Linked DNA regions of Caenorhabditis elegans. The protein of the gene in region 2 interacts with the protein of the main gene of each other region in a pairwise test. Each region holds a gene or a part of one and is shown on either strand. Other genes may lie near its edges. The genes, in order: snf-12 and sta-2.

Region 1 (6,813 bases), on a different chromosome or scaffold from region 2:
CTGCCGCTGAAAAATATGTCTTGCAAGGACAATATAAAATTAAGGTTGAAACTTACCGATAGTTACTAGAGGAATTGCCTGCGACATGCTTGAAGCCGGTCACAAAGGCAAATGTTGCCGCGTTATCAACCGTTTTGGTTTCTGCCGTTTTATCATCACTATCGGCTCCAACAAAGTGCGTATGTTGGTTTAATATGTTCGATTTGTACAGGCACTTCATGTATCGCCTGCTAATGCCTGAAAAGGACAAAATGTACAGTTTCGCACATTACAAGGGGATTAAAACAGTATTAATCAGAAAAGGAGTTATCGTATCGTATGGTTTTTTCTGTGGAAATAAATTTGAAAAAAAAAACGTATTTTATAGTGCTTGCAGGATCAACGCAAAGATTTAGAAAATCATCTTGGAGGATTTGCAGAATTTTGATATTAAGTCCGGAATTAGTTCAAGTTCTTAACGGAAACTGTTTTAAATACTGTGAGAAGAAGATGCAGAAACTGTGATCTTTTCCTCTTTCAACTCTTCCAACATTCTTTTGAATAACAATTGAGAAAATTGCAGGAAAAATGTTTATAGAATTATCATTATTCTTTTGCACTTAGACATTTATAAAGTGGAAACAGACTTTTCATATTACAATATATGTACTCTAATTTGGCGAATTTTCTTTGAAAAATCACTTTGTTCTCATTTCAATATTTGATGTTTATATTCAAAATCAACAATCTTTTATTTCACAAATTGCAACAAAATTTATTTTGGCGGCATATCAATTGGTTTCGGCCGCTTTAACTGTGATAACACTTTCGACCTGCCATTCTTCTGCTCCTGGTCATAAATTGCCACTGAACTCAAAGAGCGCTGTCTGGGAAAGTCCAAGGGTGTAATGGAAATTGATTCAGCGGTTGCTGTAGAGAAATGAGTGAATGCGTCGTCGTCGGAGGTTTTCCGTCGGATGACTGTAGCTCTACGAAAGCAGTCATCGGATGAGTCGTCAGATGAGTTAGAAATTGACGGTGAATCATCACCTGGTGTGATGATTTCAGGAGAGTGTGACTCTTTGCTGTTCATCATTGGGGGCTCAGATCGGCAGTGTTGTAATTTGGGCGGTGGAGGGAGTGGACTTGTCGGGACGGGTGGATCGGATGCCGATGGGCTCTGAAATTTATTTTGATATAAAGATGGTTTGAACAAATTGAAATGATCTGAAAGAAAACGAACTATTAATTTAATTTTTTTCAAAAGCTTCACATAAAAAATCAAATAAAATCAAACCTATACGTTCTCATGAAAATCTATTGAATAAAGTTGTAAACATCTCCTTTCAGATTATTTGATACAATTTTTAAAATGATCAGCAGTTTTAAATCAAGAAAAAAATACTGGGTCAACAATTCTTCAGTTGCTTTTTGTTAATAAGTGTTTGATTTTAAAAAAGTTATTGCAAAATGACTTTTTTAATTACTGCTTCGAAGTAATCATTTGGCAGAATCTATATCTAAAAGTTTGAGGTAAAACATTTTGTAATTTAGGTTTTCGGCAAACGCTTTTCATATACTACTACTAACAAAAAATTAAACAATAATGCTCTGTCAACATAATAATTCATGTTTTTGAAAATATCTTATATTCACTTACACTTCGCTTCTTGCGTGTTTTACGAGCCATCCTTTCCATATTTTGTGGTAGCTTGTTTGGTATTCTTGGCACTTCAACATTACGACATTTATAGTTTACAGGCATCGATTCCGAAAATCTGGTTGTCATTATTTTCTCGTCATCTCCTAATATTGCAGGTGGCGAACCAAATAGGGTTAACTCCATGTCATCATTGTGTTTCACAGTTGACGCCATGAACGAATTTGTCGTCGCTGAATCTTCCTCTGAGTAATTCGAAGCGGTCTCTTCAATTTGTTGCTGACGATCTCTGAGTCTTCCCGCCTTCCATCCATACGGATCTAGAGAAGCTCCAAGTGGGAAGACACGTGATCTCACTGTTGGTCCACGTGAATCAATGTACATATAAGTGTTTTCTCGATGAGTGAAAATTGTTGGTGTTCTTCGCCTATTCGGTGGGCTCTCAAATTTACCACTTTGTCGCATATAAAGATCTTTTGGCTCAAGGGAGTCGTCTTGGCTTTCTCTCCACTCGGAAGTGTCAAAAAGAGATTTCAAAAGTTTTCCTTCGTTTCGGATCTGCCGTATTTGCATGAATGCAACCAAAGGTACAACAAGTAATGGTCCAATCATAACAATCCAAGCAACAATTTCATAGTCAATCGGAATTGGTCGCCCAGCAAATGAGATTCTCTGGTATCCTAAAACTGAAGCAACAAGGAGAACTGTCAAGATAACAGGGCAAATGAAGCAAAGTGAAAACTTTATATATATTCCACCAGGTCCGAAGAAATATATTAGTTTTTCCTGGAAAACGTTTAATTTATATTGTTATGTGTAAAACAATTTCAAATTTTTGTTGGTAATACGTAGTGTTCTATTTTTTTCCAAAATCTTACTTTCAATCTTGTCGCCTTTGATATCTGAATTCTTGGAACTCGCAGCATTGCAGAAATATCCGTCAAATAGTTGTCGATCCCGTACACATAACATACAATAGCCACTGAGAGTAACGCTAGGGAGAACGAGTTCCAGTTAGCGTTAAGATTTTCAATTGCATGAAATACAAAAATCCCACCCTGAATTTTTTGATAGAAAAATAGTATAGAATTTACTACACTTACTTGAGCACACAACGGTAAACCAAGAAAAAACCCTGCTAAGCAAAGAAATGCCAAAAGCCTGTTTTCCACTGCTTTGTTTTTCATGGAGAAGTGATTCATAAATGCAGATGCTATCATTTCAAGCCTGTAAAAATAAAAACAATGAACTTGATATGAAGGTATGAACCAACCATGCAAATTCTGCATCAATTGCTGCTAAAACCAACATTCCAAAAAACAACGTTGCCCAGAGACCTCCCCAATACATGAATGATGTGACACCCGGGTAAACTGTAAATGACAGGTAGAGAGGGTCGTGCTCTGAAAGTGAAATAATGACATAGTTGATATGGAACAGATAAACTTACTTAAAACATCATTTACATTGCTGTTTGACTCGCTTGCAATGAATCCAACAAATGAAAAGATGACCATTCCAGAGAGGCAAGAAGTCAGTGCATCCCTAAAACCTTACCATGTTTTTTCTGTCATCGTCTGATAGTGTTCACTAACATAATTACCAAAAGCACCGAGTCTCGGTATATATTATTCCGATACCTAGAAAACGCCGCCATTGAAATGAGTGGACCCGCATCTATTCCTAGCTCATAGAACACTTGCTCAGCAGCTGACTTCCAAATTTGCCATTTCCAAAGTTTAGTACTATCGACAGTGAATAAAAATGTAAGCCCCTTGTTGGCTCCGGGCAGACTAATTCCACGCAGTAATAGAATAGACAACTGGAAATATTTTCGTTAAAAGCTGAAAAAAATTACAACAAACCAGTAAATATGGCACAGTAGCAGTTACGTTCATAGTTTGAGCAATTGATCCAAGACCCTTAAACACTCCAAAAAAGACCAAAAGCCACGCAGCAGCTAAGGATAGCACCAAGTGAGATTGTAGGGGGCCCAACGCAAAATCCCCAAATGTTGATAATGAAAGAACTTCGGAACTGAACGCAAAAATAATTGCAAAGATTTAAACGTTTTTTAAAAAATAGCTTTTTGTCAACAAAAAATAAAAATAGAAAATAAACATATGTACTTCATTTTCCAAAAACTCACTGAAAAAATGCTTCTGGTGCAGTGATAGAGTTTGTAGAATTGAAGCAGCTATGCAAGTTGTGCAAGTTACAGCAACGGTTGTCTAGTTGCCATTCTATATTTGGATCATTCCAGTTATGATTATTTTGAGTTTTAAACAGCTCACCGTCTCTACAAGTTTCCCATGGTAGTTCGTCTCCCAACAAAAGTCCTTTTGCCGATTGAAAAAAGTAGTGAATTGCCCAAGCCACAATAATATTGTAATAAACCGCTACCGGAATTGCAATCACAACCAAAGCCCAACCAACTCCTGAATATCTTTACGATTGATAAGTTTTGCACTCATATCTGATTTACCTGATCCAATTGGCATCAATCTCTGAAACGCTGTATTAGCTGCCTGTCCAGTATACTGACCTAATGATAAGTGCAAAAATACTAATGGAAGACCAAAAAATATTAGCGAAAACAGGTACGGGATAAAGAAAACGCCTCCACCATGCTGATAGACTTTTGCTGGAAACCGCATAGTGTGCCCGACTCCAACCATGAATCCAAGGCAAGAGAGGAAGAAATCTTTCTGCGTTCTCCACAGCTCCCGTCGATCATTTTGCTTGGAAAACCGAAGTAAGTCTGTTCGTCTGTACAATTGAAATTGGTCCCACCAGTGCGGACGTTGAGGCGTTTGGTCTTCAAGGGCTGATACATCAATAGTTTGAATAACATCAGGAGATGACTGAAAATTTGAATGAAGAGTTAACTTATTTATAATTCCGTTTTTCAAATGACAGGTTATCATATTGTCCAAGTTTTTTCTGATCGTTTTGTCAACGTAACTGAAATCACCTTGTCTTGTGAGGCGTTTAATCGGCATCTATCGTGAAAAAAATGTAGGAGAAATCTAAATTTTTTAACTTAAGCTGAGTATGCTTTATATTGAAACTTAAATTAACATGGACGCCATCGGCCACATTTAAAACAATTTACTCTCAATTTGAAAAAAATGTCGGACGTTTCTTGTTACAATTTCTGACAAAACTCTTGAACGTCCTACACCAATGTTCATTTTTCAGAGATTAAATTCACACTCACCACACCTGGAAGGGACGATATTGTTCGGGATAATGGCGGAGCTACTGATGAGCTTGTTTTTCGCTTCACCTTTTTCCATTTCTTCTCTTTTCCCACTGAACTTCCTCGGTTTAAAAGACGTTCTGTTTCGTCTGCATGGCATACACACTCCAAATAAAATAGGGCAGCGTCATTAGCACTTGAACCAACAAGTTCTCGAAGTTTGACAATTCGCTTGTCCATATCTACCGTTCGCTTCTTAATCTCGTCAACTGATGATTTACGGTGCAATTCGTTTCTTTTGGCGAGTGCCTCGATTTGCAATCGGAGAGCTGATTTCCATTCTCCGTTCATTTTGATCTGCTAGAAAAAATATGTTCTCTTTATTTTTCAGGGATTCCGAAATCGTAGCGGAATATGATAGTACTTTTATTGTAAGACACTCGACAATTGCTCAAAGAATACATACACACTACATGTTATATTTTCTGACTGAGCACTTTTTCTTTTTCTTTCAGAAAACTCAACTCAGAATACCAAAAGCTATATTTCAAACATTGATAAAATTATTAAATGTTGATTATACATATGATAAGGAAGATTTATAACTTTTAAGAAAAATAAAAACTACAACGGCACGAAAATAATGTTGTAGGTGATGCCGACGGTGAAGAAGGTTAAAAAGGTTAGAGATCGTGAATCTACAAAACGCAGGCGATAAAGGGAAACCCGAGGAAAACCTGTTCCCGTCTTTTTGTTTGACAAACTCACCTCTTCTTGCAAGACGAGAGATTATTGAGTACGCGAGAATAGTACAGTTGATGTTGTGAGAATTTGGTTGAAATTAGTTTTTAATAACAAACTATTGCGTATGATCAACGCGTTAGATTTCAATTTGTTGAGTTAAAACACAGAAGGATAAATAAAATTTTGCTTTCGTATTGTAATAATTTTGCTTTCGTATTGTAAATGATATAAAGATAACGTTAAACTTTTCTCGATGTCTTTGAGTTTCGTGATTTTTATTATCAGTCGATTAATTTTTTACGCAGAGAACCTTAGATATGTATTCCCATTTTGCCACAAAAACACTGTTTAGTGCACTTCCTTCCCTCAAAACCAATTGTGCACGTTTCAATAGGCAAGCTTTTTTCAAAATCATGTATAATTTGAAACCTTTTCAGCGGTACCAGCATTTTTTTGCATCCAAAATAGTTAGCCGTGTTATTTCTTGGTCACACTTTTTTTTTGACTACAAGACTATAGTACTACTTTTGAATATACAGGGTGGTAAATAATTATGGCGACCACTTTAGGGCACTGTAACTTTTTTTTGGACAGCGAGCAAAACAAGTGAATAGATACATTTTATTGTTCAGAAACAATCCAACATAATGATTATATAAAAACTATATAAAACTTGACATTTATGATCACTTACAGCCGCACAGAACTCAAGAAAGTCAAAAATCCACACGGCCCTGGTGCGCAAGTAGACTCGATTTAGCTTATTGGTGATTTTTAAATGAGGTATCAAAAAATGCATTTAAAGTTCTAAAGTAGCCCATTCGCGATGCGCCATTCCGTCGTACATGTAGGTATCAAACAAATCATTCTCGTGCTTCTCAAAGTGAGACTCTCTCCATTTTTTGTCGTTTTTGACGGTGCAGTTGGAAAGGAAATTGTGCCCGAGGTGAAAGAAGTACTTGTTGTACAAATGATGGTCGGACTGTGACGGGACAAGACTGAAAATATGAAATATTAGAATTATAAGAATTATAATTGAATTGCTTACAACTTTTTTGCGCTTTCCAAAAACTCCACTTTTTCCCATCTAATATAGTTTTCCAAAAAGTTTTTTGGAGTGAGATTGTTCCAACAAAGAGTGCTCATGAACTCTTGAAACAGTTCTTTTGACGCAGATGACATGTCTACCTTGGCAAGGTTGTTGAGCTCCAAGATTTGTTCTGTCTCC
Region 2 (5,793 bases):
AATAGTGCATTAAGGAGTGGAGACCTCCGACACTAACTATCCGGGATGTGTGTATGTTTTTTTGAAGGAATGGTTTTCTCTGATGGATTATTATCATTAGAAGAATAGAAAGTGTTATCATTGTCAAATTGAGATGATAAGCGGCATAAGCGATCCGAGTGGACGCAAAACTTAAGAAAATTAGGTTTTCAGTCAAAGAGTGTTAAAAAAAGTTCCAACATCTGCTTTGGGCACACTGAAGATATTCTAAACTCTGGGACATTTCTGTGCAAAGTGCAGCGGGAGCCGATATAATCACCTTTTATGAGGCTCCTGCGTATACATACTATATGAAATTTAAAAAAGTTAAACACAAAGTAGTTAATAACATGTTTCTGAAGAATGTCTTCAATAACGTTTTGTTATTCAAATATTCAACAGTTACAGAAATTCATTATTTTCAATCGAGACCGTTTTTTTGTGATTCCTGACCCCTTCATTTTTTGTTCAAGGAACCAAATCAAAAACCAAATTGACGGTTTTTCCACCTCTTAATGTTAGTTCAAACTACAAATCTCCTCTCTATTCTTTATTACCATTTGTACAAGTTTCTCAATTAACCCACCATGTGTGTTTATTTGTATTCCTTCTTTGCCAAATGATGTCTCCGATTACCTCTCAATGACTCATTTCAACCCTAAAACGTAAATGAACCGTGTTGATAGTTCGCTTTTTGATTGTAAAATTACTTTATTTTATTAAATTCTGAGTGAGTGTGTTTGTACTTATAACAATCTAACTGATATCTCAAATGCTCAGTTATCGTTCATTCAAGTGGCGGCTCCTTGATTATCAAAATAGATTTCGTCGGGAGCAAGATTGCGTGGAAGTCGAATACGTGGCTTATTCCGTCCTCCGAGAGCAACCTGAAGTTGTTTGGTCATTAACGAAATGTCAATTATTCATATTCAGGCATTTAATAAGCGTTTCATGAAGATTCTTATCGAATGTATGAGAAATGAAAGGGGCAATATTCTGTGTAAACACATACCTCTAGATCAATGTCTGGATAAATGAGATCGACGTCGGAGAACTTGTGATTTGAAAGAAGTTCTGAATTCAGGGATCGAGCATTTAGATCAGCGTGCTCGTACCAGTGATGACGAATTTCTAGAAAACAAACAGAGTTGATTCGGTTTTCGGAACAAAAATTATTTGATTTTGAATTTATAAATGTAAAAGTGCGTAGAATGTTGCTGGCAACTATGTTAGAATATGATAAGTTTATGTTGTTTTTTGAATATTTAAAAATATTTTTTGGATTATTTGCGAGGTTTTTTCTTCTTCTGTTCAATGCAGTCCTATTCATAAAAGTATATTTAAAAGAAAAGTACGGGAAAATTTTTCTGAAACAGAGAAAAACTGAGATAACTGGTATAGATTTCGGTCTTGAATTTTTGTTGAATTTTCTCATCGAAATCGCAAAAGTAATGTCACACCCTTCGTTTTTCACGAACTTCCTTGAATTCATTTGATGATTTTGAAAGCTTACCACCATTCCTATTCTTTACTGAAATCTTAATTTTTCCGTATTCAATATCCGAAAATCGAACCAACAAAACACTTCTCGGTATGCATCTCAAAATATTCTCTGCGTCTTCTTTACTGCAAAACCCATAAACCAAGCTGAAACAGAAAGGCTTTAATTTTCGCGTCACATATATGTCATTACCTACCCGTCATACCACATACTGTATAGGTACTTATTTGTAATTTCTGCAAGTTTAAAGAACCAGTCGTAGAATGGCACCAATTTCCAATCCCCTTCCGCAGAGGCACTTTTCTTATGCTGGAATTCTTCTGCAACCGGAAGCTGAAAATTGAGGGGGTTTAGTTGTAGTTGAAGTAAAAAGAAAAAAGAAAAGAGTATTCCATTACTTTGGAACTCTATTGACAATGGAACTTGTTTTTTTCTTTGAAGTTTACAAGGACATACATAAACGTTTTGTTACTGTTTCCACAAAAAATGAGGATTTTGAAGGACTGTCAAGTTGCCATTTAGGTTCTTGAGAATGGAGGGATTCTTGAGAATGGAGAGTTTTCTAGTTTGACACTTTTCTCCCTTTCTTGACAATTTTCGATAATTTTTTAAATAAAGTTCCAAACTTCAAAAAAACGCATACCTTCATAAAATTATCAAGTGGCAAAAATCCTTGATTATTTGGTTTCATTCTCATCACCAAGTGTTGTTTTGTTTGCATATTGAATTTTCTCGGTTGAACAACAGAAGGTCCATCAGTATTTTTTTGAGGTGTTTCTATGATTGCTTGAAATTTCATTTCCAGAGCATCAGCCATTTCAGCACAAGATACATGAGTGGGAATATCCGAAAGCGGATGGCGGACCTGGAATTTGATCATTTAATTCTGTTCGAAGATTTTTGAAAAAGCTCACAGTTGATATTTAAAAAATTTTTCGAGTTCCAAATAGTGTGTGTTCTTTTTAAAAAATACCAAAAAAAAACTTACCAAGTCAGCAAAAGATCTTTCGAGGAACAATTTTGCCTCAACATCTGCTTTTGGACCAACAAGAACAGCAAATGGAAGCGAAACCTGAAAAATCTAATTTTAATATACACTCCAACAATTTATAACCTTTTTTCCGACAAGTTCAATTCCACAATTTGTTTGCAATTGAATATTATAGCACAGACAATATCGTTTTGTAGCAACGGAATCTCGACGAAGTGCAACCTTTTTTGCAACTTTCTGAGAAGAAATTGTTTTTATTTCCCATCTTTAAATGAAAAACTCGCCATATCGTCAAATTTCGCTTTTATTCCTCTTGCATCTTTTTTTTGAAACGTGGATGTGTTTGGCTCAATACAGAATTCTTCAGATTCAAAACTAAAAATAAAAAAGAAATTGGCTTCAGATATAATTTACAAAACTCACATATCAAGGTAAGCATTATTTAGTAATTGCTTAGCAGTCTCATCGGTAATCAAGTAACAATTAACATTTGAATTCTCATTGTTTGTATCAATTCCAAAAGCGGATCCACCAAGAATTCTGAATCAAATAATTAATTCAAAATTTAGGTCTATTATGTAATTTCTCCGGTCTTGTTTCTTCAAAAAAATTTCAACATTTTTTTTTGAATAAATCTAACCTTATCTCAGTATTAAACCAGAATCTGCTTCTTCTATGATTCTCTGCTTCACCACATTTAACAATCACTGATGGTGGTTGACGACTGACAATGATTGAGTAGTAAAGGAAATAATGGGTCAAATTGCGAACTTTTGAATGAACCTCTTCAAATCCGACGTTCGGATAGTATTGCTTCAAGTAATCAAGTCCTGAGAGTGTCTGTTGCAAAAGTTCCCCAAAATATTCAAATTGTAAATTGATCAAATCTAATTCTTTGTAATGTAATTGTTGGGTGTGAAGAGTTGCAATACTAAGCTTCTGTTGTTTCATAGCCCATACAAGAAGTACATCGCTCATCAAATGTTGTTTTTCGTCTTCGAAATTCAAGATCACATTTTCACAAATTTGCAGCGTTCGTTGAATGAATGGGAGTTGCTCATTTTGGGCAATTTTCCCCGATAAAAGGGAATCTGCACATTCTTTGAAACCCTGAAACCAGCATCATGAACAGTAAATGCTGTGACTTTTCATCACAATTAATAACTGAGGTTTTACTGAAGTTCCTACCTGATATGCTTCCGCGCTCAAATTATGTTTTGACACGAATGCTCCATCTACAACTGGCTCGGCTGGGGAGAATGCAGAAGAGGACTCAATGTCCATTTGGTCAGATACCACCGACGACATCTAGAACTTGAAGAATGAATTTAAAAATTTAAACCAGAGGAGTAGTGACGAAGTAGTCACATGAATTAAGAAAAGAGTAAAAGTAAAACAAAATAAAACAAGTGACCGATGATGTCAGAGTTTGTATTGTCAATCGATGTTACAACAAAGTGCCGTCGATGTCGTCGGACAGTCGGGTGGGCATCTTGCATTCTCGGTCGAGAAACTCGTTTTGCGCAGTCTGTATGTCTATCTCTCTTCTTATTTGAGATACATTTTCTTTTCATCTGATTCCTAGATGACTCATCGAATAAATTTACAATATTACAAAAAATTAGAAAAAAATGCAGACAAAACATCACTTCATTCGAATTTAAATTGTTAAATGTTTATTAATGAAACGAATTTGACGTTGACTCTTCAAGTAGCGAATGAATTGAGCAATCAGAGTGTATACGTTGTTGAGAATTGCCAGGGAGAGAATTATAATCACACCTGGAACATGTGTAATTTGAAGTCTACTGATGAAACTATTTTCCGCCTGTTATTTTTTTTCTGTTATTTCTGTTATTTTCTGCTTAGATCTAGATTTCGCACTTGTTTGTCAATTCGAAAACCTCTATAAAGTCGGAAAAGGTAACTATTCTCGATAAAAACTTCTACAGGTCGTTATTTGGAAAGTAATATATGTTTAAACTCACAAATTCTTCCAGTATCATCTGGGCGAGCATACATATTCTTCTCAATAATTCTTTTGTAAAAGCATCGTTCTTCCATTACAATTACCACGTATGAAATCAAAAGTCCAAGAAGAACTATGATCAGAACATGGAAAATATTATTTAATGAGCATTTTGGTTTACTCCACTGCTTGATTGGCTTGAACTGAGCACCACTATTCGTGTATTCAGATTTACAAATTTCACAGGTTTTCTTGTTTGACATGTTTACCCATTTCGTGAGACATTCCTCATGCACATCACCCATCTGAATTTGGTAAATTAATTTGAACAATACAATATTTTTCTTGTGTAGTCTTGTGTCAGGATTTTATTCAATGTTCAGAAAAAATATATTTAAGTCAGTTGTTAAATGTGGGGGTTTTGTCTTAATCTGTTCTACGTGGCTATAAGTAAGGATATAAAAAAATACAAGACTTTTCGAAAATTACAAAACAAATTGGATACAAAAACATAAAGCCACGAGATTCTGAGGCCCTTAATGTCCCCTTTTTCGAAACTATCATAAATTTATGAATCACTAAATACTAACCGTTCCAGCACAATCACATGGTCTAACCATATCTCCCTCGTGCATTTGACAGATTCTACAAATTCTACGAGATCCAGAAGTTGTCGATTCAGAGAATGATGCAAGTAGCCATGCCGGTCTCACTGGTTTCTCTGGTGATTGAACCTGTGTGCTTGCCAAAGACAACGAACTGTTACTTGAAATTGCAGCTTCAATGTTACATTTTTCAATTACATAAAGTTTAAAACCCACAGTTGATAGATGTTGTTTCACCCATAACGACAATGAATTGAAATAAAAGATTTCGATTTATTCGATTCGAAAGAAAAGATGAGAAATAATATGAATTTGAAAAGGGAATAAAAAATAAATACCACAGGTAAATGTCAAAACGTAATGAATTTAGCGTGTTCATCGCACGATACGTTCTTCTCGTGATTCGAAAAGTCTGAAAATTATGAATATTTTAAACATATTTTTATTAACCATTTAACGGAAACGAGACTCGTCCCACTTGGACCTCAATTTGCTATTCTTCACTTACTTGTAAATGCAAAGAGCTATTGTGGATCCAAGAAGTGGTCCAGCCCAATATATATAATGATTATTCCAGTAAAAAGATGTTTTTTGAGTTGCAAAAATCGAACCAATAATGCTTGGACCCAGTGATCGAGCTGGGTTCATCGAGGCGCCGGTGATGGATCCACTGAAACATTTAATTTATGAGGCATCGTATATTAGCAAT

The links.
Region 1: the proteins of sta-2 (region 2) and snf-12 interact in a two-hybrid assay, tested with the Caenorhabditis elegans proteins (one study listed by BioGRID).

What each region holds. Positions count from the first base shown.
Region 1 is NC_003284.9:9,027,857-9,034,669, reverse strand, and holds snf-12 (Sodium-dependent transporter snf-12), read right to left. Parts: upstream 5,201-6,813; 5' UTR 5,193-5,200; coding exon 4,860-5,192; intron 4,504-4,859; coding exon 4,125-4,503; intron 4,078-4,124; coding exon 3,934-4,077; intron 3,883-3,933; coding exon 3,789-3,882; intron 3,677-3,788; coding exon 3,505-3,676; intron 3,462-3,504; coding exon 3,235-3,461; intron 3,185-3,234; coding exon 3,090-3,184; intron 3,043-3,089; coding exon 2,913-3,042; intron 2,867-2,912; coding exon 2,743-2,866; intron 2,698-2,742; coding exon 2,518-2,697; intron 2,426-2,517; coding exon 1,640-2,425; intron 1,160-1,639; coding exon 755-1,159; 3' UTR 715-754; downstream 1-714. Other genes in the region: nep-22 (Neprilysin), read right to left, coding at 1-6, 57-87; T25B6.3 (TryThrA_C domain-containing protein), read right to left, coding at 6,385-6,583, 6,634-6,812. UniProt on the Caenorhabditis elegans protein: Probably mediates sodium-dependent uptake of unknown small molecule(s).
Region 2 is NC_003283.11:9,739,248-9,745,040, reverse strand, and holds sta-2 (Signal transducer and activator of transcription b), read right to left. Parts: upstream 3,836-5,793; 5' UTR 3,819-3,835; coding exon 3,699-3,818; intron 3,621-3,698; coding exon 3,151-3,620; intron 3,051-3,150; coding exon 2,934-3,050; intron 2,886-2,933; coding exon 2,795-2,885; intron 2,748-2,794; coding exon 2,634-2,747; intron 2,592-2,633; coding exon 2,508-2,591; intron 2,385-2,507; coding exon 2,163-2,384; intron 1,853-2,162; coding exon 1,716-1,852; intron 1,666-1,715; coding exon 1,532-1,665; intron 1,150-1,531; coding exon 1,031-1,149; intron 906-1,030; coding exon 810-905; 3' UTR 710-809; downstream 1-709. Other genes in the region: marc-1 (RING-CH-type domain-containing protein), read right to left, coding at 4,171-4,292, 4,499-4,784, 5,070-5,257, 5,301-5,325; aqp-4 (Aquaporin), read right to left, coding at 5,460-5,496, 5,593-5,754. UniProt on the Caenorhabditis elegans protein: Carries out a dual function: signal transduction and activation of transcription. Required, in concert with transcription factor elt-3, for up-regulation of the vacuolar H(+)-ATPase and acceleration of lysosome maturation at molt.